2 linked regions of the Diceros bicornis minor genome follow. The protein of the gene in region 1 binds, or shares a complex with, the protein of each later gene. Links are inferred from orthologs where the notes say so. Each region holds a gene or a part of one and is shown on either strand. Other genes may lie near its edges. The genes, in order: GIPC1 and PLXND1.

Evidence for each region.
Region 2: the proteins of GIPC1 (region 1) and PLXND1 are in contact, whole or in part, in a crystal structure (PDB 5V6T), measured with the Mus musculus proteins. The link is inferred for Diceros bicornis minor from reciprocal best matches to the Homo sapiens genes GIPC1 and PLXND1. Residues at the interface, in NP_061241.1 of Mus musculus: His61, Glu141, Ala142, Leu143, Gly144, Leu145, Thr146, Ile147, Thr148, Asp149, Asn150, Gly151, Phe156, Lys158, Arg159, Arg190, His191, Tyr192, Glu193, Ala195, Arg196, Leu198, Lys199; in NP_080652.2 of Mus musculus: Glu1400, Met1889, Glu1893, Arg1899, Gln1902, Gln1904, His1905, Glu1908, Ile1918, Tyr1919, Cys1921, Tyr1922, Ser1923, Glu1924, Ala1925.

The regions. Positions count from the first base shown.
Region 1 is NC_080769.1:3,390,694-3,400,827, reverse strand, and holds the start of GIPC1 (PDZ domain-containing protein GIPC1), read right to left. Parts: upstream 5,054-10,134; 5' UTR 5,004-5,053; intron 2,850-5,003; 5' UTR 2,795-2,849; intron 1,779-2,794; exon of another isoform or gene 1,562-1,778; intron 1,281-1,561; 5' UTR 1,194-1,280; intron 1-1,193. UniProt on the Homo sapiens protein: May be involved in G protein-linked signaling.
Region 2 is NC_080741.1:87,711,482-87,721,362, forward strand, and holds the start of PLXND1 (plexin-D1), read left to right. Parts: upstream 1-5,819; 5' UTR 5,820-5,865; coding exon 5,866-7,209; intron 7,210-9,881. UniProt on the Homo sapiens protein: Cell surface receptor for SEMA4A and for class 3 semaphorins, such as SEMA3A, SEMA3C and SEMA3E. Plays an important role in cell-cell signaling, and in regulating the migration of a wide spectrum of cell types.

The sequences.
Region 1 (10,134 bases):
AGTCTTTCCTCTCCCCCCACTCTCCCTTCAAACAAATGTGTTTTGGGTGCTTACTATATTCCATGCACCATTTTTGGTACTGCCTTCAATAAGTTAAGCAAGGTCCCTGACTGGGGCCACCATGTGCAGTTACGGAGGTTGTTCACTATGCAAAAGCACCACCCCCTGGTGTGGTGATGTGTCTGCTTGAAGAAAGGGCTGCCTTTTTCTAAGTCACTTCTAGGTGCTATCTAGGCTAGCTGGGGCTCTGTGCATGCTGTCCAGAAGCATGCAGTCCAGAGCGGAAGATGCACAGTGAGCAAGCAAACGTGTAAATGTCTAATGTAATTTCTAATAATGTGATGGAGACAATAAAACAAGACGAGTTCTACAGATGCGGTCAGGGAGGGCCTGGCCTCTCTGAGCAGGTGAAGCCGAACCTGAGACCTGCACGTCAGGAAGACTTATCCATATGAGGATGTGAGGCAAGAACGTTCCAGGCAGAGGGAGCAGCCAGCACAAAGGCCTTGAGGTGGGGATGTGCTTGGCATGTTGGAGGAACAGCAAGGAGGCCTATGTGGTTGGAACAGAGTGAGTCAGGGGGGCAGCAGCAGGAGGCGGGGCAGGGAGGGGCGGGGCAGAGCGAGCAGGGCCTTGTGGGAGGAGGAAGGACTTGGCTTCTGCTCTGAGTGAGGTGGGAGCCATGGAGGTTCTGAGCAGACTCACAGATGAGCGAGAGAGCAGGGCGCCAGAGGGGAGTGAGCAAGGGAGAGCGTCAGGAGGGAAGGGAACAGCAGCGACCGGCCTTCTCAACTGGAAAGAGTTAAGATGTCACTTTTAAGTCACAGGTCCAAAGTCACAGAGACAGGCTGCACCCTCAAGTATGTCTGACTCCTAAGTCCAAGGCCGTAACCACAAAGCTGTCCCCTAAGCGCCTGGGCCTCAGGTGCCTGGTCTGCAAATGGGGACATTCCACCCACCCAGCTAGGCTGTGGGGAGGATCAAACTAGGCCAAATTCTATTTTTCTGTGTCTAGGGGACTTCCTGCTCCTTCCCTTCAGATCACCTCTTCCAAGGGGCCATCCTGGATTCAGTCCAGCCCAGTGGGCTGCATCCATTCTCATGCCTCCATTCATTCATTCATTCATTCATTCATCCACCTGCTCTCCAACATCTCCAGTAACATCACCTGGTCCGGCCCCACGGTCACTCACCTAGACTAGTGCAGGCGCCTCCTCTGGGTCTCCCAGCTCCTGCCCTTGCCCCTACCGTCTCTTGTCAACACAGCAGCCAGAGGGAGCCTGTAAAACATAAGTCACGTCACATCTGTACTGTGCCCTCACTCCTCCCAAGGCTCCTACCTCACTCGGAGTAAAAGTCAATGTCCTCCCCTCAGCCCACAGGCCCCAGAAGATCTGGGCCCATCTCCTGCCTGCCCTCGTCTCCTCCCACTCTCCCCATCGCTCGCTCCCTCCAGCCACATGGGCCTCGTCCCCGTTCCTCCAACACACTAGGTCAAGTCCAGCCTCAGGGCCTTTGCACTGGCTGTGCCCCCCGGCATCCACACAACTCCGTCTCTCACCTCTTTCAGGTGGAATATATATTTCATTCATTTATCTCATTCATTGTCTGTTTTCTGAAAGGGCAGGGAACCTTGTCTGTCTTATTCATCCCTATATTCTCGGTGCAGAGAGCAGTACCTGGCACACAGCGGGTGGTCGATAAATATTTCTTGAATGAATGAATGGATGAATGACTGATCCTAATGTTCACCAGCCCACCAGTCCCTGTGCCCGGCTCTGGGGAGATAAGGGGTACAGGCTGTAGTCACTGCCCTCAAGAGGGTCCTGTCTCCCCAGCAACAGCATAAGCCCTACCTCTGGGGTCCCCCATCCTTTGCCTCCCAGCATCATTCCGTGCACAGGGAAGGTGCCTCCTGTAGCCAGGAAGACAGGGAGCGTCTCTGTCCTCTTTCATTGTGGTTTTGTTTTTCATTCCCCTCATAATCAATGATGCTGAACAACTTTTAACACATTTATTAACCGTTTGGATTTGCCCTTTTGTGAACTGCCTGTTTAAGTCTTTGCCCATTTTTAAAAAGTGCATGGTCTGTCTGTTTTTAATTGCACTGCCCATCTTTTTTTCTTATTGATTTGTGGGAACTCTTTACATGTACTGGATACTAGTGTTTCATTGGTTACCTCATCTCTCTATCCATAGCACCCAACACTGGATCTAGCACACAGTAGGCACACACCGAATATTTGACAACATTTGAATTCTGAATGAATAAACCAGTACTGCTCCCTCAAGTTATTTCATTACATTCAATGATGCTAAAAAAAAAACCTCACCATCACCTCCTCTGGTTCCCCTCCCCCCACCCCCCATATATCTTAGCAAGATGCTAAGAACATGAGTCTGGAACCTGACTTCTCCACTTACTAGCTGTGTGACCTTGGGCAAGTGTCTTAACCTCTCTGAGCTCCAAGGAAATCAGGCATGGGCCTGGAACAGTTCCTGGCACACAATAAGGGTTCATAAATATTGGTGATTATTACTACTATTTCCATCTGTACCATCTTTCAATCAGCTGCCAAAATTCAAACTTCCTCTTTTTCCCAGGGCCCACACATTCTGATCACCAAGTCCCAACCTCCATATTCTGCATCTACTTGCTGCCTGCTTCAGGCTGGCTTCTGTGTCCCCACTTGTGAGGGGGCATAACGGTGGTAAGAAAAGTGGATGATTAATGAATTTGCCCTCCAGGCCACAAGAGGCAGGGTGGCCTGGGTTGAGACCCCACCCCACTTACCAGCTGCGTGGCTGTGGGCAAGTCACTTCACTTGATGGGGCCTCAGTTTCCTCATCTGAAAAATGGGCAGAATTCCTGTCTCTCAGGGTGCATATGGGAATCCAAAAAGATTATGCATTCAACTGGATTAGCACTTTGCTTGATATTCAGTTTAAGGAAGCTGTTATCATTATTGTCATTATTATTATTGCCTCCTCTCCTGCCCTGCCCAGGAACATCCCAGTCCTCTCTGCCTGAGAAGCCCTACTCCAGGCCACCTCCTCCAGGCAGCCTCCCTGGCTTGCCCCAGCCTGTGGGAACCGCCCCTGTGGTCCCGATGGCTTAGGCCCATGAACTTAATTACAAGTTGCCCGGGCAGGACTCTTGTCTTCCAGTCTTAGGCTGTTATTTAACTTCATGTCTCTATTTTAAAACATAAACCAGATCGCGTCCCTCCCCAGCCTCAAATCTTACAATGGTTTCCCACCTGACGGAGGAAAAGCTCTGGACTCCTTGTGACCCAGAGACTTCGGCTGCATCTCCCACCCCAGGCACGCTACTCCAAGCTGGGTCCGGCCACAGAGCCTGCGCCCCAGCTGTGCCCCTGCCTGACCTGTGCAGGGCTGGCTTCTTTTTGTCATTCAGACCTCGGCCCCAAAGTCACCTCCTCTGAGAGCCCCTTTGCCCACACATTCTCCCAAGGCCCCCTCATATTTTATTCAGAGCACTCAGCACTGTCTGCGGGTACCTTTCTTATTTACTGGTTAACTGCTGTCACCTGTCCCTCCCTTCCACTACAATGGCAGCTTCCAGAGAGCAGGGATTTTTGTCCCGTTCACTGCTGTATCCTATGTGCCAAGAACAGTGCCTGGCCCATTGTAGGTGCTTAATCAACATTGTAGAAAGAATGAATGTCTTATGTCCTCATTCTGACTCCTCCCCAAACTCCTCTATCCTCAGCACACAGCAGCCTGGAGCTGCTAACCACCACGCCCTCCGATGCTCCCAGCCTCCTCTCAACCCCGCAAGCAGGGATGGAGAAAGGAGCTGCAGCCCGGCTGAGCTGGTCGGCTGGAATTCCAGCACCCCCACCCTCTCTTCTCCGGAGGGGCTGGACACTTAGTAACCCCACAGCCACAGTGAGGGCAGCAGGAGGAGGGGAGGGGGTTCCTGGGAGGTCACAGAAGCCGGAGGAGGGGGACACCATGCCCAGGCCCCCCTTTCCAGTTGGGTACTGCTTTGGAGGGGAGGGCGGGAGGCCTCTGATTCACTCTTGAAAAACCGGCTCCTGGGTGTTTCCGGGGAGAATGCCTACTGCCTGGCCTTGGCCCAGGCTTCCCAGGGGCCCAACAGGCACAGGACCCCAGCGTCCTGGCCCCCTGCCTATCTCCCCTGAAGCTGTCACTCTCTTCTCAGGACCTTCTCGGCCTTGCCTCTTCGGCTCAGGGGAGAAGGGACATGGGAGCAGCTTCCTGTTTGAGCGGCTGGTGTCTGGTCACCTCTGGGGGAGGGAATCAAAGACCAGAAGGTGTGGCCCAGATGGTGTGTGTGGTTGTGTGGGGGGAGCTGGCCAGGAACACCTGAGCCAGGGAGCCACGGGGCATCCGCTCTAGTGGTTGAGACTCCAGTTCTGGACTCTGAGGCATGGGTTCGAGTCCCAGAGCTGCCGCTTACTAGCTGTGTGCCCTTGCGCCAGCCACGCCAGCTCTCTGGGTCTGCTGCTTCACCTCTGGAAGAAGTAACAGCACCTTCCACGAGGTGTTTAGATTCAGCGGCAGGCACGGTAAATACGTGACAGGGAAATGTTGAATAAATGCTAGCCGGGCGGCTGTTTCACCATTATTATCGGGACCTCAGTCCTGCCCAGGCCCCCTCAGGCCCTGGGGCACTGGGACGCGGCCAGCTCCGGGGAGGCACCCGGGAGCGCTCCGAAACGCCGACGCCGCGCCTGTCCCCGCCGGGACGGGGACTGTCCAGAGGGACGCGGGCGGCAGGGGTGCGGCCGGAGACCGCATCCCGGCGGCGGGGGGCGTTTGCCCGCTGCCCCCAGCGGGAACGGAGGCGCCCCGCCGGAGGAGGCCTCGGGCATCCCCGCGCCCGGCCTCGACCTCCCGCCGCGTGCAAGGGCCGGCCCCACCCGCGCGACCGGCCGGGCCCCCGCGGTGCGACCCCGCGGTCCGCGCGAGGGGCCCCGAGCCGCCGCGCCGCGCTCCGCCCGCCGGACACTCACCTGCGCCGCCGCCCTGCGCGCCCCGCTCGGCCCTCCGCAAACTCCGGCCGGGCCTCTCCCGCAGCCGCGGGGGGGCGGGGCCGGCGCCCGCGCCCGGCCAATCAGGAGCGGCCGCCCGAGCTCGCGGCCAATCGGCGCCGCGCCGCGCCTCCGCGCCCGGGTGGGCCCGACGGAAGCATTCCAGAGGGATCCCCGCCCGCGCGGCCCTGCCCGCCCCCCGCGCGGCGCAGTGGACCTTCCCGCCCCGCCTAGGCCGCGGCGGGCCGTACCACCGCGCGGCGGAGGGGGAGCTGCGCCGGGCCGGCCCATCGCGGGGAGGGAAGGAGAGTACGACCAGTGGGAAGCTGGGGCCCCTGACCTCGTGCTGCCGGCTGAGCGTCCGTCTGGGGTGACTGGGGGGTGAGGGGCGAGGGACTGGCCGTGGGAGCCAGGTGACCCAGGCTGAGCCCCGGGGAGGGGATGCGAACTCCGGAAGTCCGGAAAAGCGGACCCTTTAGGAGACCAGCCCCTAATCCGGTCCTCTGCCGGGCCTGCCCCTGCCCCAGCCTGGCCATCCTCGGAGCGGACAAAAAGAGGCATTCATTCCAGGCGGGCGGGCCGGGGACGAAATGAATAGGAAGGGTCCCGAGTGTCCCAGCTTCCTGGGGTGTACAATGGACAAGGGCATTCATTCATTCATTCATTCACTCATCAAATATTTAATGTGCCCCTGCTCCGTGCCAGGCTTTGTCCTGTCTCTAGGGACACTTCAGCGAGTAAGCTGAAGATGCTCCTGGTAGAGGGAACAGTGCCTGCAAAGGCCTGGAGGCCGGATGGGGAGATCCAGCGTGCTTTAGGGTGGTGCAATATCGGAGGAGCTACCAAAGAAAGGGTGCAATGGAATGGGGGACAAGGGCGAGATGGCCTGCTCACTTGTTGGTTAGACCAGCAAATACTTACCGAGCACATGCTATGTGCTAGATTGCAAAGGGTACCCAGCTAACCCTAGCCTCCGCCCTCAGGGAGGGGACCCTTCATAAGTCTGTCTCCTCCATCTGAGTGTTCCCCCCGCCCTGGTCCTGAGACTGGCCCAGAGCCGGGTCTCAGCACAAGTGTGGATGAAAGGACCAGGTAATACCACCTCTAGGTTTGGCTTGCACCTGGGATTTCTCAGGCAGGAACACGTCCAAGAAACAAAGACACGAATGCACCTCGCCCAGGCCAGGACTCTCAGTTGCCAGGACAGGTGAGATTTCCTTGTTCTGGTTCAAAGCCAGCCACTTGGGCAGCTGGGGCTGGACCTGGAGTTCGCTGTGTGTTCTGGGATTTGTAGTTCCTGGAGGCCTCTAATTGCTGAGAACCTGCTCAAGCCTCATTGAAGGACTGGGTCTTTGTTGTCCCCAGAGTGAGCTGCTGTGCACCCCAGCCGCGCCAGGGCCTGCAAGAGTGCCACGTGAGGTGGGAAAGTGGGCCTTGGGCTGAGCTGCTGAGGGCTGCCTGGCTGGCCCCACCCAGCTGGCAAACACCGTGCCTGCCATGGCAACAGGCACAGCCATTGTCCTTCTCTTCCTGTTCTGCTGCCCTCTGCCTCCTCACTGAGCAATCAGGTGCCTGGGCTGGGCCAGAGCCCTGTGTGGGACTGCCATTGCCCTGCTTGCCCCTGATATCTGAGCTGCTCCTGCACACCTGGAGAGGGCAGCATGGGAGGCTTCAGGGCAGCAGAATCTTGAGCCTGAATCCACCTTGACTGATGAGGAAGTGCCGAGGGAGGGGTGAGGGGGTTGCCCAAGGGCACAGAGCAGTGCCAGGCACTTCCTACTCGATTTCATAGCTCAAGAGGCTGCCTAGGGGCCGGCCCGGTGGTGTAGCTGTTAAGTTCAGGCACTCCGCTTCGGCTGCCCGGGTTTCCCTGGTTCGGATCCTGGGCACAGACCTATGCACCACTCATCAGGCCATGCTGAGGCACCATCCCACATAGAAGAACTAGAAGGATGTACAACCATGACATACAACTATCTACTGGGACTTTGGGGAGAAAAAAGGGAAAAAGGAGGAAGATTGGCAACAGATGTTAGCTGAAGGCCAATCTTCCTCACACACACACACATACACACACACACAAGAGGCATGCCTGAAAACAATGGGGAAAAGGTACCTTGGAAAAGGTACCTTGGAAAAGGCAGAGTGGATGAACCTGAAGTCAGAGAACCTTAACCAGAGAATTAAAGTTGCCATCACCAGTGATGGGACAGGCTGTCCTCACGTGCCCCCGCTGTGTGTGATGTACTGAGGAGGACACAACATCCTGCCAGAAGTGTTTAACCTGAGGAGACAACCAGACACGTCCTGACTGAGGGACGTTCTGCAAAAAAAACTGACCTGGACTCTTGAAACAGATCTGTGTCGTGAAAGGCAAAATCTAGCCATTAATTTAATGAATGAATGGATAAAAGGCTGGGGAACAGTTCTAGATTGAAGGAGACAAAAGAGAGATGACAACCAAAATCAATGTATGATCCTTTTTTTTTTTTCTTTTTTTTGCGAGGAGGATCAGCCCTGAGCTAACATCCATGACAATCCTCCTCTTTTTTTGCTGAGGAAGATTGGTCCTGCGCTAACATCCATGCCTATCTTCCTCCACTGTATATGGGATGCCGCCACAGCATGGCCTGACAAGCGGCGCATCGTACGCGCCCGGGATCCGAACCCGAGAACCCGGGCCGCCAGCATTGGAGTGCGCGCACTTAACCACTAGGCTACGAGGCCTGCCCCAATGTATGATCCTTAGTTGGATCCTTGATAAAAATTTCAAAAAAAGATGAAACACTACAGAAGGATATTCTTGGGATAATTGGGGACATTTGAATGTTGAGTGGATATTAGATAATAATATATCCATGTTAAATTTCCTGAGTGTGAGGACTGTGCTGTGGTTAGGTAAGAGAGTGTTCTCATTCTTACGAGATACACAGTGCGTTATTTAGAGGTAAGTTCGTGATGCCGGCAACTGTCAAATGCTTCAGAAAAAGAAATATGTATGTATGCAACATTTTATATACACTATGATAATATGGTATACCTTAGTATTAAGATATAGGGAGATAGGGCCGGCCCCGTGGCTTAGCGGTTAGGTGCGCGCGCTCCGCTGCTGGCAGCCCGGGTTCAGATCCCGGGCGTGCACCGACGCACCGCTTCTCCTGCCATGCTGAGGCCGCGTCCCACGTACAGCAACTAGAAGGATGTGCAGCTATGACATACAACTATCTACTGGGGCTTTGGGGGGGAAAAATAAATAAATAAAATCTTTAAAAAAAAAAAAGATATAGGGAGAGAGAGAGAGAGAGAGAAAAAAATGAATGTGGCAAAATAGTAACAATTGCGGCTGAATCCAGGAGGGTGGTATATGGGTATTCATTTCAGTATTCTTGTAAGTTTCCTATAGCTTTGAAAATTTCAAAATAAACATTGGAAAGAAGTACCCCCATTTCCCTCCCATCCCCAGAGGCTGCCATCCAGTGGCTTTAATATGCACTGTTTTGTTTGTGTCTTTCCTTGAAAATGTGCATGTTCTGTTATATTTGGCTTCTTACTTTTTTTCCACTCAGTACTGTATTGCTTGTTTAGTTGTTTGCTTGTTTTCCACTAGGCCTTGAAGATCCCTCTGTATTGCTAATCTCTTGAATCTGTTTTCTTCTAACTGTGGCTTGGTGCTCCATGGAACTCCATGGAATGCATCCCTCACATCTTAGTCCTCTGTCCTCCAGGGATGGACACCAGGCAGCCTCCAGCTCCCCACGCCACAGTGAACAGCCATGGACCTGCCCCCTCAGGGACCTGGTGAGACTCTCCACAGGAGAGAGACCTGAATGCAGAGATGCTGGGGCACAGGGCACAGACCATTGCTCTGTGGTCCCCCAGGCTAGCTGCCCTTGTCACACCCACTGGCAGTGCAGGAGGGTGCCATGTCCCCACATCTCTGCCAGCCATTCTAAATTTTGCCACTCTGACTCACTGTCAAGTGATGTCCCCATTGCTTTATTTTACATTTCTCTGATTTCTGATCACTTGGAGCATCTCCTCATTTCCTTGACGGCCTTTGGATTCTCCTCTTCTGTAAATTGCCCGTTCATACTCTATCCATTTTGCAGTGGGGGTAGCTGTGTTTTTCTTGTTGATGTGCACGTGTTCCTCACAGAGTCTAGATCTTACTGTCCAGTCTGATCTAACACAAACTCTCCCCTCTCCACACGTGGTTACGGAGCACTTGAAATGGGGCTAATACAAACTGAGATGTGCCGTAAGTGTAGAGTACACACTGGATTCTAAGGCTTATTAGAAAGAAGAGGACGTAAAATATCACATCTCATTAATTCTTTTTTATACTGATTATATATCGTAATAATGATAATGTGGATGTATTGGGCTAAAGTGTATTATTCAAATTAATTTCACTTGTTTCTTTTTACTATTTGAATGCGCTCCTAGAAAATTTACAACTTGGTATGAGCTTGCATATTCTACTGGATAGCGCCGGGATACTGGGCCCTGGCCAGTTTCAATAATGACAGAGCTTCCCACGAGCCAGACGCTGTTGTAAGAAATTTATATTTACTAAACCGTTTAACCCTCCTAATGACCCTGTGAGGTGGGCACAGTATTAGACATTGCAAACATATTCCCCCACCGTTATGTGACGATTTGCTTCACCCGTGATATCCTTCAATGGGAGGAAATTCTTAACTTCAATATAATTGAACTTATCCATTTTGTCATTTGCACCCGTGACATTTCATTAAGGAGGCCTTTTCCACCCTTAGATCACAACGTTTTTCTTCTATTCATTCCCTGGTTTTACTTTTCCTGCATCCTCATTCCCTCCCTAGGCCCCCTCGGGGTGTAGGGTAGGACGGTCACATCTCTCCGTAACCTGCGCTGCTCACAGCGCACCCTGGGCCCCCATGTGCCTTAACCTCCTCGTCTATAAAGCAGTGATCAGAATGGGACCCCCCTCCTAAAGTGATTATGATTGTCAAACACCTACAGTGGTGCTGGGCAGATAGTGAGTGCTCAGTGAACAACAGCTGGTATTATTAAACTGTGTTGAGGGCACAGAGATGAATAAACACAGTCTTTCCAAATAGAAACATTATAA
Region 2 (9,881 bases), on another chromosome or scaffold:
ACATTCATGGAGCACCCACTGTCCACTCAGGAATCGCCTGCCCCTCAGCCTGCTCTGGGCGGCTGTCCCCCGGAGAATGTGGCAGCCCGGGAATGTGGGTGGGGGCCCCTGGGGCGGCCTTGCCCCTCCGCCGCTGCTGTTGGACAGAGGCCTCAGTGTGGAGCTGCTGGGTCCTTTCACAGCCCAGACCCATGACTGGACGTCTGAGAATGCCGCCCATTATCCGCCTCACAGAGCACAAAGGGGCCACGCCGGGGGCTCAGCAAGCCAGGCGCCCGGATGGGTGCAGGGGCTGCGGGTCCCCACCACGGAGGGCAAGGACGGGCCCGGAGTCGGGAGAGGGAGAGGGCGTCTCTCACACACAGGAATTAGAGCCATTTCCTCCAGTCCCACGGGGACACAAAGACAGAGAGATGACCAGGGGGCTTGTCTCCACCGGCAAGGGCAGGCCAGCCCTCCTGAGCCCTGAAACCAGACCTAGAAGGCCACCCCCCCCTCCCCATCCCACTCGCAGGGTGGCATCCAACGGAGGCAGGAGGGAGCGCTCTAGAACTCCGAAAGGGGGCAAAACCCTCGGTTCCATGGCGTCTGTAGTGGGGAAATGCCAACAGAGCCGTGCCAACAGCACCGACTGTCTGCAACAAACATGCGTTAGCGTGACGGGTGCTGTGTCTCCTGTCAGGGCTGCCACTTGAGGGTCACCCTGGCCCCTCCTGGGCCACTCCAGTAGGACATGGTGGCAATGACAGGAGATCCCATGTGGAAGGGCAATGCAGGCTAGAGAGGGGGCAGGGGTCACTTTGGGCCATCTATTTGCTGTGTGACCTTGGGCAAGGCTCTAGGCCTCTCTGAGCCTTGGCACCCACATTTATGAGAAGAGGGGAGGGAGACCTGGTGGAGGGTTAATTAAATGAGATGCTCTTGCGCATCTGAGCCCTTACCGGCGTGTCCCGATGACAGGCCTCCGTGCAGCTGCCATGAGGATGGTACCATTATCGCAGTGGGGGCTCTCCTGAGTGGGTACAGATGGTGGATTTGAGCAGTCTGGGGGCAGGACCCGTGTTTCAGAGCTGGAAGGTCAGGGAAGCCACACTGCCTGACATGCCCGGCACCCTGACACGCAGATGTCTTCCATCCTGACCGCAGCTGTGAGTTTACGCTCCCCTTTTCCAGATAGGGAAACTGAGGCTCGAAGAGGGCTGGTGCCACCAAGGCCACACAGGTGGTGAGGGGCAGAGCTGGGCCTGGGACGCAGTGGCCAAGAGCAGGCTGTGGAGGCTGGTGAGCTGTGCAGCTGTAGGCAAGTGGTGGCACTCCCCCACCCTCAGTGTCCCCATCTGTGAAACGGGGATGATAAGACCCACCTCTCAGAGTGGCTCCCAGGCAGAAACCAGATGGGTGAAGCCCCCGAGAAGCCACAGTGATGGCTCCTGGCACCATCCAGGCCCACGCTGGGCGTGCTGGGCTGCCTCGGAGGATTCTGTTTCCAGCACCTTCCTGTCACCAAGGTTGCACTTGGGGCGGTCATCGTGTCAGGAGCGTTGCCTGCAGGGGAAGCGTTCTCTGAGGCCAGGCCCAAGGGAAGGGAGGCAGGAGCCCCCTCCTCCCAGCACAGCCCAGGCCCCACTGTTATTTTTTCCAACTGAAGAAGGCAAACATTTCCTCCTCCTCACGGCTCTGCCCTGGGTAGCCAGATGGCTGGAGATGACCAGGGCAGGAGGGGGCCCCGCCCCGGCAGTGGTGGAAGGCCCGGGCTTGCCTTCGCTGGGCCAGCCTGGCCACTGACCACTGGTTCCCAGGCACGGAGCTGCCCCATCTGGACTGCCGCGTCCTCATCGACAAAGGCACTACGTTAGGCTGACATGTCCCAGGTTTCCGGCATTTTGCATCACCTGGATTATGACCTACTTCATCTTTGTCTTTAAATTAACTCATGTTTTAAAAACTTCAATAAATGCATTTATCAAGCAAGCTTTTCATCATTATCGTACTTGGAAACCCAGTATCACTTGCCTAAACGAGGAAATAACTGCAAATATTATAAAGAAAACAAAGAACTATAAGTACATTCTAGAATGCCCATGTCAACAGCACCAAGCTTGAGACCCTCTTGCTATTAAAAATGGACAGTGACAGGGGCCGGCCCCGTGGCTTAGCAGTTAGGTGCGCACGCTCCGCTGCTGGCGGCCCAGGTTTGGATCCGGGCACGCACCAACGCACCACTTCTCTGGCCGTGCTGAGGCCGCGTCCCACATACAGCAACTAGAAGGATGTGCAGCTATGACGTACAACTATCTACTGGGGCTTTGGGGGAAAAATAAATAAATAAAATTCCAAAAAAAAAACAAAAAAGGACAGTGACAAATGTTACAGAGGCGATAAAGACACACAAACCCCAAAACGGAGACCTTCTCCTCCATCTAATCAGAAGATTTGAACAAAAATGAGAAGGGCCCGAATCACAGGGTGAGCTGATAGTTAATCCAGGGTTGGTTAATCTGGGTGAGTTAATTCAGAGTTAGTTAATTCTGGGTGCCACCTAACCACCCTCTGCTGGGTGCCATCAATCTCCCCTTAGGTTCCCTCTAAAATCCCTTCTGGGAGGACACTCACAGCATCTTAGCAGGCCAGGGAAGATGTGAGTTCATTCATTCCTTTCTTCCTTCCTTCAGCCAATAGTTACCGGCACCTCTTCTGCCCAGCCAGGGGTATAGCATAGCTGCCCCCAGACCTGTCCTGGCCTGAAGGAGCTCCCAGCTAACGGGTGCAGGGGAGGAAGCACAGGATCTGAAGACAGACTGGGTTCACATCCTCACCTTGCTAATGCCCCTCAGTTTCTCCATCTGTGAAACGGGTCCAATGATCCTGCCTTGTCAGCTAGCTGTGAAGATGGCATGAGGCTGTGCAGGGCAGTGCTGGATGCAGCCCTTAGCCCTTGGTGGATGGCGGCTTTGCTAGCCACCGCGAGCACTCATGACAGGAAGTGGGGCCCTGGTGGGCCATTGCTCAATGTAAGGGGAGAGAAACTGCCTTTGCCCAGTGCCTGCCATGTGTCTGGCACCGTGCTTTCTGGTACGTTATGTTCTTCAAGTCTCACAACCTCCCAGGGGCCAGTGTGCTATTATGATTGACCTTGTTCTACAGACGAGGAAACTGAGGCTCAGAGAAGGCAAGTGCCTTGCCCTAGGCCACACAGCACTTCCACCTCCAGCTTATGCCAGGACACTTGGACCCTGGCCGTGCCCTCTGCAGTCTAACCTAGCCCTGCATAGCCCCAGGCCGGGCAGCTCCTGAGTCCAGCACTCAGCTTGGCAGGTAGTGTGTCCAAAGTGCCGGAACCACCCACTGTGCGCCAGGCTGAGCTGTGAGGACGCAGAGCATTATCGTCAAAGCTCAGTGGGGGGAGCTGCAGGATGTGGCAAGATGAGCCCGGAGACAGGAAGGAAGCTAGGAGGGGCGAGGGAGGGAGAGAGGGGTGGGGGATAAGGAGAGAGACAGAGACACAGAGAGGTAGGAGAGACACATACAAAGAGACAGAGAGTGGAAAGAGAGGGAGGTGGGAAGAGACTGGGGGAGAGAGAGAGACAGAGAGAGAAAGCGGGAGGAGCAAAAAGACAGACGAAAACAGAGATGGGGTGGGGAAGGCTAGAGAAAGATAAGACCCGGAGAGAGACAGACAGATGGACTGATGGGGACGGCTGTGAGAAGGGGTGGGGGGAGAGACATTAGGGCAGCCTCCTGCCCCTCTGCCAGGTTCCCCAGTTGCTCCCACTGGTGGCACAACATGAACCCTCCCCACCCAGAGATGGAGGTGCTGTCCCCTGAGTGGCCTTGATCCCCCCCACCGGGGGAAGAAGGGCAGAGCCTCCGATTTACTGCAGTTGAACACTGCTGGCCGTCAAAGCAGTGGCCAGACCGGGGATGGAGGGGGTTGGAAAAAGGCAGGCAAATGCTGATGGCAGGAAGGCGAGGGTGTTGGGGTGAGGGAAGTAGGGGACAGCTGTAGGCCTGGCCCTTCCTGCCTACCCTGTGGGGAACAGAGAAACCTCCTGTCCTTCCTTCCTGGCCAGGTGGGAACTAGTGAGGTCAGGCCTCAGAGCAAGGGCCATGGGGCCCCATGTGGCAGTTGGGGGTCTGATGGGAGCCCCCCGTTCTGAGATGCCAGACCTGGCCTGGGGTTGGGGGAGGTTTGGGAGTTTCAATCATTGTAGCTCTGCTCCTTAGCAGCTGTGCAAGTGGGCCTGGTACCTTCACCTCTGGGGCCCCGGGTTCTGAATGTGGAAGATGGCATAATAGGACCAGCCTCAGAGAGTAGCTGTGAGGACGAAGTGAGTCAATACATATAAGGTGCTCAGCACAGTGGCCGGTGCGGGTCAGGCCATGTTTGAACACTCCCCATGCCACAGACTGTGGACGCTCACCATACAGGCTCTGTGACCTTGGAGTCATCACTGTCTGACTCCGACCCCAGCGCCTACTTTCTCCTTCCAGGCGAAAGGAGAAGCGGGCCCAGTGGCGGCTCACATGTGGCTGATCTTCCTTCCACTAAATCTGGGAGGATTTTCAGTCCTTCCAGAGCCTGAATAGAGAGGTAGTGCCCGGTGAGGTTGGGGGGGTGAAGGGCAGCGGCCCACAGGGCTGGGTCTCCACAGGAGGCAACTGTGGGCCTCCAGGGGCCACTCGCCGCCAGGACCAAGGCCTCACTCTGGATGTCGCTGACCCACCCGGCCTGCTCCCTGGCCTGGCACAGGCCTCAAATCGCTCCTCTTTCCCTGTTTTCCTGGTTTATGCGTCTGACCCTTGAATTGGTCCCTCAGTCTCTGCCACTTGTAAAACCTCTCTTATGGGGATGGAGTTTGGGGAACAGATCATGGGGTCTGAAGAGGTGGTGACCCCGGCCTGGCTGGCCCTGGGCGTGCCCTGACCCTGGGGTCTAAGGCCTGGACAGCGGCCCGCGAAAGGGAGTGGAAGGGGAGAGACCCTGAGTGTGAGACGGGGAGGGTCAGGGAGGGCCGAGGATGAGGAAGGCAGAGGAGAGAAGAGGGTAGACAGAGATGGAGGGGAGAGGGGCCAGAGGGATGGGGAGAGAGGCAGACGGTCCAGAGGGGAGGAAGCAGAGGGAGCCACGGAGAGAAGGAGAAAGCCAGGGACAGAAGAGCAGAGAGGGGAGAGGGAGAATGAGGCAGGGGATAAAGGAGGGAGGCGGGTGACAGGGACGGGAGAGCGAGAGAGAAGGAGAAGCAGAGGCAGAAAAGGAGAGAGACAGCACGCACGGAGTTGGGGGGTTAGAGAGAGACGGGGAGACACTGAGAGGGACACACACGGAGAGGGAGAGAGACAGGGACCGCGGGGAGAAAGAGAGGAAGGAAACGAGAGAACAAACCAGAGCGAGACAGGCCCAGCGGCCAAAAGGAAGGAAGGCGCAAGAGGAGCGGGCGACGGAGGCGGAGGCAGGGCCGGGAGAGGGAGCCTCGGGCCACGGGCGCCGCGCGGGCGGGTCGCGGAGGGCGCGGGGCGGCCCGACCCCCCGACAGTCGAGCGCGGGCCCGGCAGCCAGAGCGCGGGCGGGCTGCCCGGGGCGGGGGCGCGGGGCGGGAGGGGCCCGGGGGCGGGGCGCGGCCGGGCGGGGCGCGCCGGGGGCGGGGAGCGAGGGCGTGTCCGCAGCGGAGCCGCCCCCGCCCCGCCCCCGGGCTGCGCCGCGCGGCTGAGCCGGGCCCGGGCGCCGGGGCCGGGGGCGGCTGGCGCGGGCAGGAAGCGCCTCGCGGCCCGGGCCCGCCCCCCGCCTCCTGCCGCCTCCCGGCTCCCGGCGCCCGGCCGCGCCGCGCCCCATGCACTCGCCGCGCCGCGCAGCCCGCGCACGCCCGGATGGCTCGTCGCGCCGCGGGCGGCGCACCCCTTAGCGCCCGGGCCGCCGCGGCCAGCGCCCCGCCGCCGCGCCCGCCGTTCCGCGCCCCTCCGGGGCCGCGGGGCCGGCCGCCGTGCCCGCCGCCGCTGCTGCTGCTGCTGCTGCTCCTCGGGGCGGCGTGGGCCGGCGCCCTGGAGATCCAGCGCCGGTTCCCCTCGCCCACGCCCACCAACAACTTCGCCCTGGACGGCGCGGCGGGGACGGTGTACCTGGCGGCCGTCAACCGCCTCTACCAGCTGTCGGGCGCCAACCTGAGCCTGGAGGTCGAGGCGGCCGTGGGCCCGGTGGCCGACAGCCCGCTGTGTCACGCCCCGCAGCTGCCGCAGGCCTCGTGCGAGCACCCGCGGCGCCTCACCGACAACTACAACAAGATCCTGCAGCTGGACCCCGGCCAGGGCCTGGTGGTCGTGTGCGGCTCCATCTACCAGGGCTTCTGCCAGCTGCGGCGCCGGGGCAACATCTCGGCCGTGGCCGTGCGCTTCCCGCCCGCCGCGCCGCCCGCCGAGCCCGTCACTGTGTTCCCCAGCATGCTGAACGTGGCGGCCAACCACCCGAACGCGTCCACCGTGGGGCTGGTGCTGCCGCCGGCCGCCGGCACGGGGGGCAGCCGCCTGCTCGTGGGCGCCACGTACACCGGCTACGGCAGCGCCTTCTTCCCGCGCAACCGCAGCCTGGAGGACCACCGCTTCGAGAACACGCCCGAGATCGCCATCCGCTCCCTGGATGCGCGCGGCGACTTGGCCAAGCTCTTCACCTTCGACCTCAACCCCTCCGACGACAACATTCTCAAGATCAAGCAGGGTGCCAAGGAGCAGCACAAGCTGGGCTTCGTGCGCGCCTTCCTGCATCCGCCTGACCCTCCGCCGGGCGCCCCGTCCTACGCGTACCTGGCGCTCAACAGCGAGGCGCGCGCGGGCGACAAGGAGAGCCAGGCGCGGAGCCTGCTGGCGCGCATCTGCCTGCCCCGCGGCGCCGGCGGCGACGCCAAGAAGCTCACCGAGTCCTACATCCAGCTGGGCTTGCAGTGCGCGGGCGGCGCGGGCCGCGGCGACCTCTACAGCCGCCTGGTGTCCGTCTTCCCCGCGCGCGAGCTGCTCTTTGCGGTCTTCGAGCGGCCCCAGGGACCCCCGGCGGCCCGCGCGGCCCCGGCGGCTCTCTGCGCCTTCCGCTTCGCCGACGTGCAAGCAGCCATCCGCGCTGCACGCACCGCCTGCTTCGTTGAACCCGCACCCGACGTGGTGGCTGTGCTCGACAGCGTGGTGCAGGGCACCGGGCCAGCCTGCGAGCGCAAGCGGAACATCCAGGTACACCTAGGCAGCGGGGGCGCGGGGGACCAGCACAGGGGGCTCGGGGGAGAGCGTGCCGATAACTGGGCGGGTTGTGCGCCGTGCCGGTCACAGGTGTGAGCGTGCCGGTACCCAGATGTGCGTGTGTGGGGATCCAGTTGTGTACTCCGGGCCACAAATGCATATTCGGGGATCAGGTGTGCTCGCGAGGATACAGGTGTCAGCCGAGGTGGGGGCACTGGCGTGAATATGGCCCAGATGTGCGCATGCGGGCACTCAAGTGAGTGCGGGATTACAGGTGTGCATACCTGAGTGTGCGGGGGTGGGGGGCGGTCCGGGCTTCGGATGGGTACCCAGGTGCGCGCTGAAGAGAGACCGAGGTGCCTACACAGCCCAGGTGTGCGTGTGGGGGTCCTAGGTCCGGGCGGAGCGCATAGCAGTGAGTGCACTGTCTGACCGAAGGCGTGCTGGGCCGGCTGTGCGAGCCTCTCAGGGCTGCCATTGGGAGTTGGCAGATGTATGCACGGGCCTGGTGGGGAGGCATGCAAGTGTGGACCAGGGCCCAGCAGATGTGGGGGGGCAGCAAGGTGGGAGTGACAGGGGTGTGTGCACCAGACTTTTGTGTCCCCGAGCTGGGTCGTGCAGGAGTGTAGGGCAGGAAGCCTGTGCTGCAGGGACACTGGTGCAACAGGGCAGGCCTGGGTGCCCAGTGGGACGTGTGTGGCAGGGGACACAGGTGTTTGGGAACCAGTATGTACTCTGGGGAGGGCGCTGGTGTTCTTGAGGCCAACTTTAATTCACTCCTTCAACCCATATTTACTGAACACCTGGCATAGACCAAGCATGGAGGCTATGGGGTAGATAGTAACGCTTGTGGAATGCCTGCTAAGCGTGTTATGTGGCGTAACTCTCTTGGTTTTCACAACAACTCTCTGAGGTGGGCTCTGTTCTTATCCCCGTTTTACAGATGAAGAAACTGAGGCACAGAGAGGTTAAGTAACTTGCTGAAGATCACCCAGCTGGGAACTAACAGAGGCGGAATTTGAATCCAGGCTGTCTGGCTTCCGTATCTGTGTTCTTAATGCTGCTGAGCCTTTGCTGCCTTACAGACATGGGGCTCAGTGTGTGTGTGTGTGTTTGTGTTGGAGTCCAGGGAGAAGGGGTGGGGAGGTGCCGGGGCCAGGAGAGTGGAGGGAGGTGAACAGGACTGTGTGCAGATCGGGGTGTGCAGGAGGCAGGAGAGGGCCATGGGGCTCAGGAGGGAATAAAGAGGGGCCAGGTATGTGGGCACCCCAGCTCGGTGGGAATGGGGGCAGGTGTCTGGGGCTGGGTTGGGCAGTGGCGAAGGGGCCAGGTTGGGATCAGTGGGTGTGTTGACCTGGGTGGAACGTGACACAGTGGTGCAGGGGGAACTTTGTGCAGTTCCCTCAAGGAAGCCCACCAGCAAGGGGTCACTTCTTCAGGGGGCCCTGGAGGTGGGACCCTGTGCCTTTTCCACACTTGCCATCCCGCTCTGAGTCTGGGCAGTCCATTTCAACCCCAGGCTTTGTCACTCCCCTAGGAAGCCTCAGTTTCTCCCTCAGGAAAATGCTGAACTCAGCCTTCTCCTGTGGTTACAGAGCCCTCCTTGGGGCCAGGCCCCCCGTGGCTCTGCCCCATCCCTTCTGAGTGGTCCTCAGGCTGGGGCAAAAATCTCATGAGATTAATTATTCCCCTGTGGGTGTGTCCGACACGGGGGCTTTCAGAAACGCAGATTCCTCTCCTGCCGTCGGGCTCCCGCGGCTGCCCACCACTGGGCTGGCTGGCCGCCCTGAAAATAAAGGGCGCTGTTGGTGAGCGGGGCAGACTGTCCCAGGGAGCGGCGCTGCCACCCGCAGGGGCCGACCGGCTCAGGGCCAGCTGCCCAGCGCCACGGCTGCAACATCCACCACCGTTCCCCTCCCCGGGGCTATATCCCCCAACAGGCTGTGTTTGAGGGGACAAGCTTTGTTTGTGGGATTCTCCAAGTCGGAGGAGGTGAGTGGGAGTCACCCCCGCCCTGTGAAGGGAAGACCCTGTCTGGGCCGGGGTCAAGGTTGGGCCAGCGCCCAGGCATGTCCATCCAAGCCCTGAGTGTGAGTTGATCTGTGGGATTCCTCCAGCCGCAGCAGTCTCTGCCTCCCCCTCTGGCAGGAACCGTCCTGGTTCCCACGGTCCCTCGTCCCCAGCCTGGCCTGGAGCAGTGACTCATTCTGCTGGAGGGGGCTGGGGCTTCCCTCTCCTGAGGGGGCAGGGCCTCTCCAGGGACAGGGCCCCAGGGACAGAGTGGCTGAGGGCCTCCTCCTCACCCCAAGGCAAGGCGGATTCCCGGCCCTCCTTGGCCACTCTCCCTGTATCCTCCACACTCCTCTCCCCTTCCCCATGCCCAGCTGTGGGCACAGGCCAGTGCTGCTGGGCAGTACCTCCTAGGTGTGTCCAAGGCCCCAGGGTCTGGTCCTCTAGCACAGCCGTGGGCGGGGGTGGGGAGGGTGATAGTTATTCTTGGGCCAGGCTGTTGCCAACTCCCCAGTTATAGGCTAAGAACCTGGGTTGGAATTCTACTCTGTCACTTCCCAGCTGTGTGACCTTGGCAAGTGATTTAACCTCTCTGAGCCTCAGTTTCTTCATCTGTAAAGTGAGGACAATAAAAACACATCTCTAAGGATTGTTTT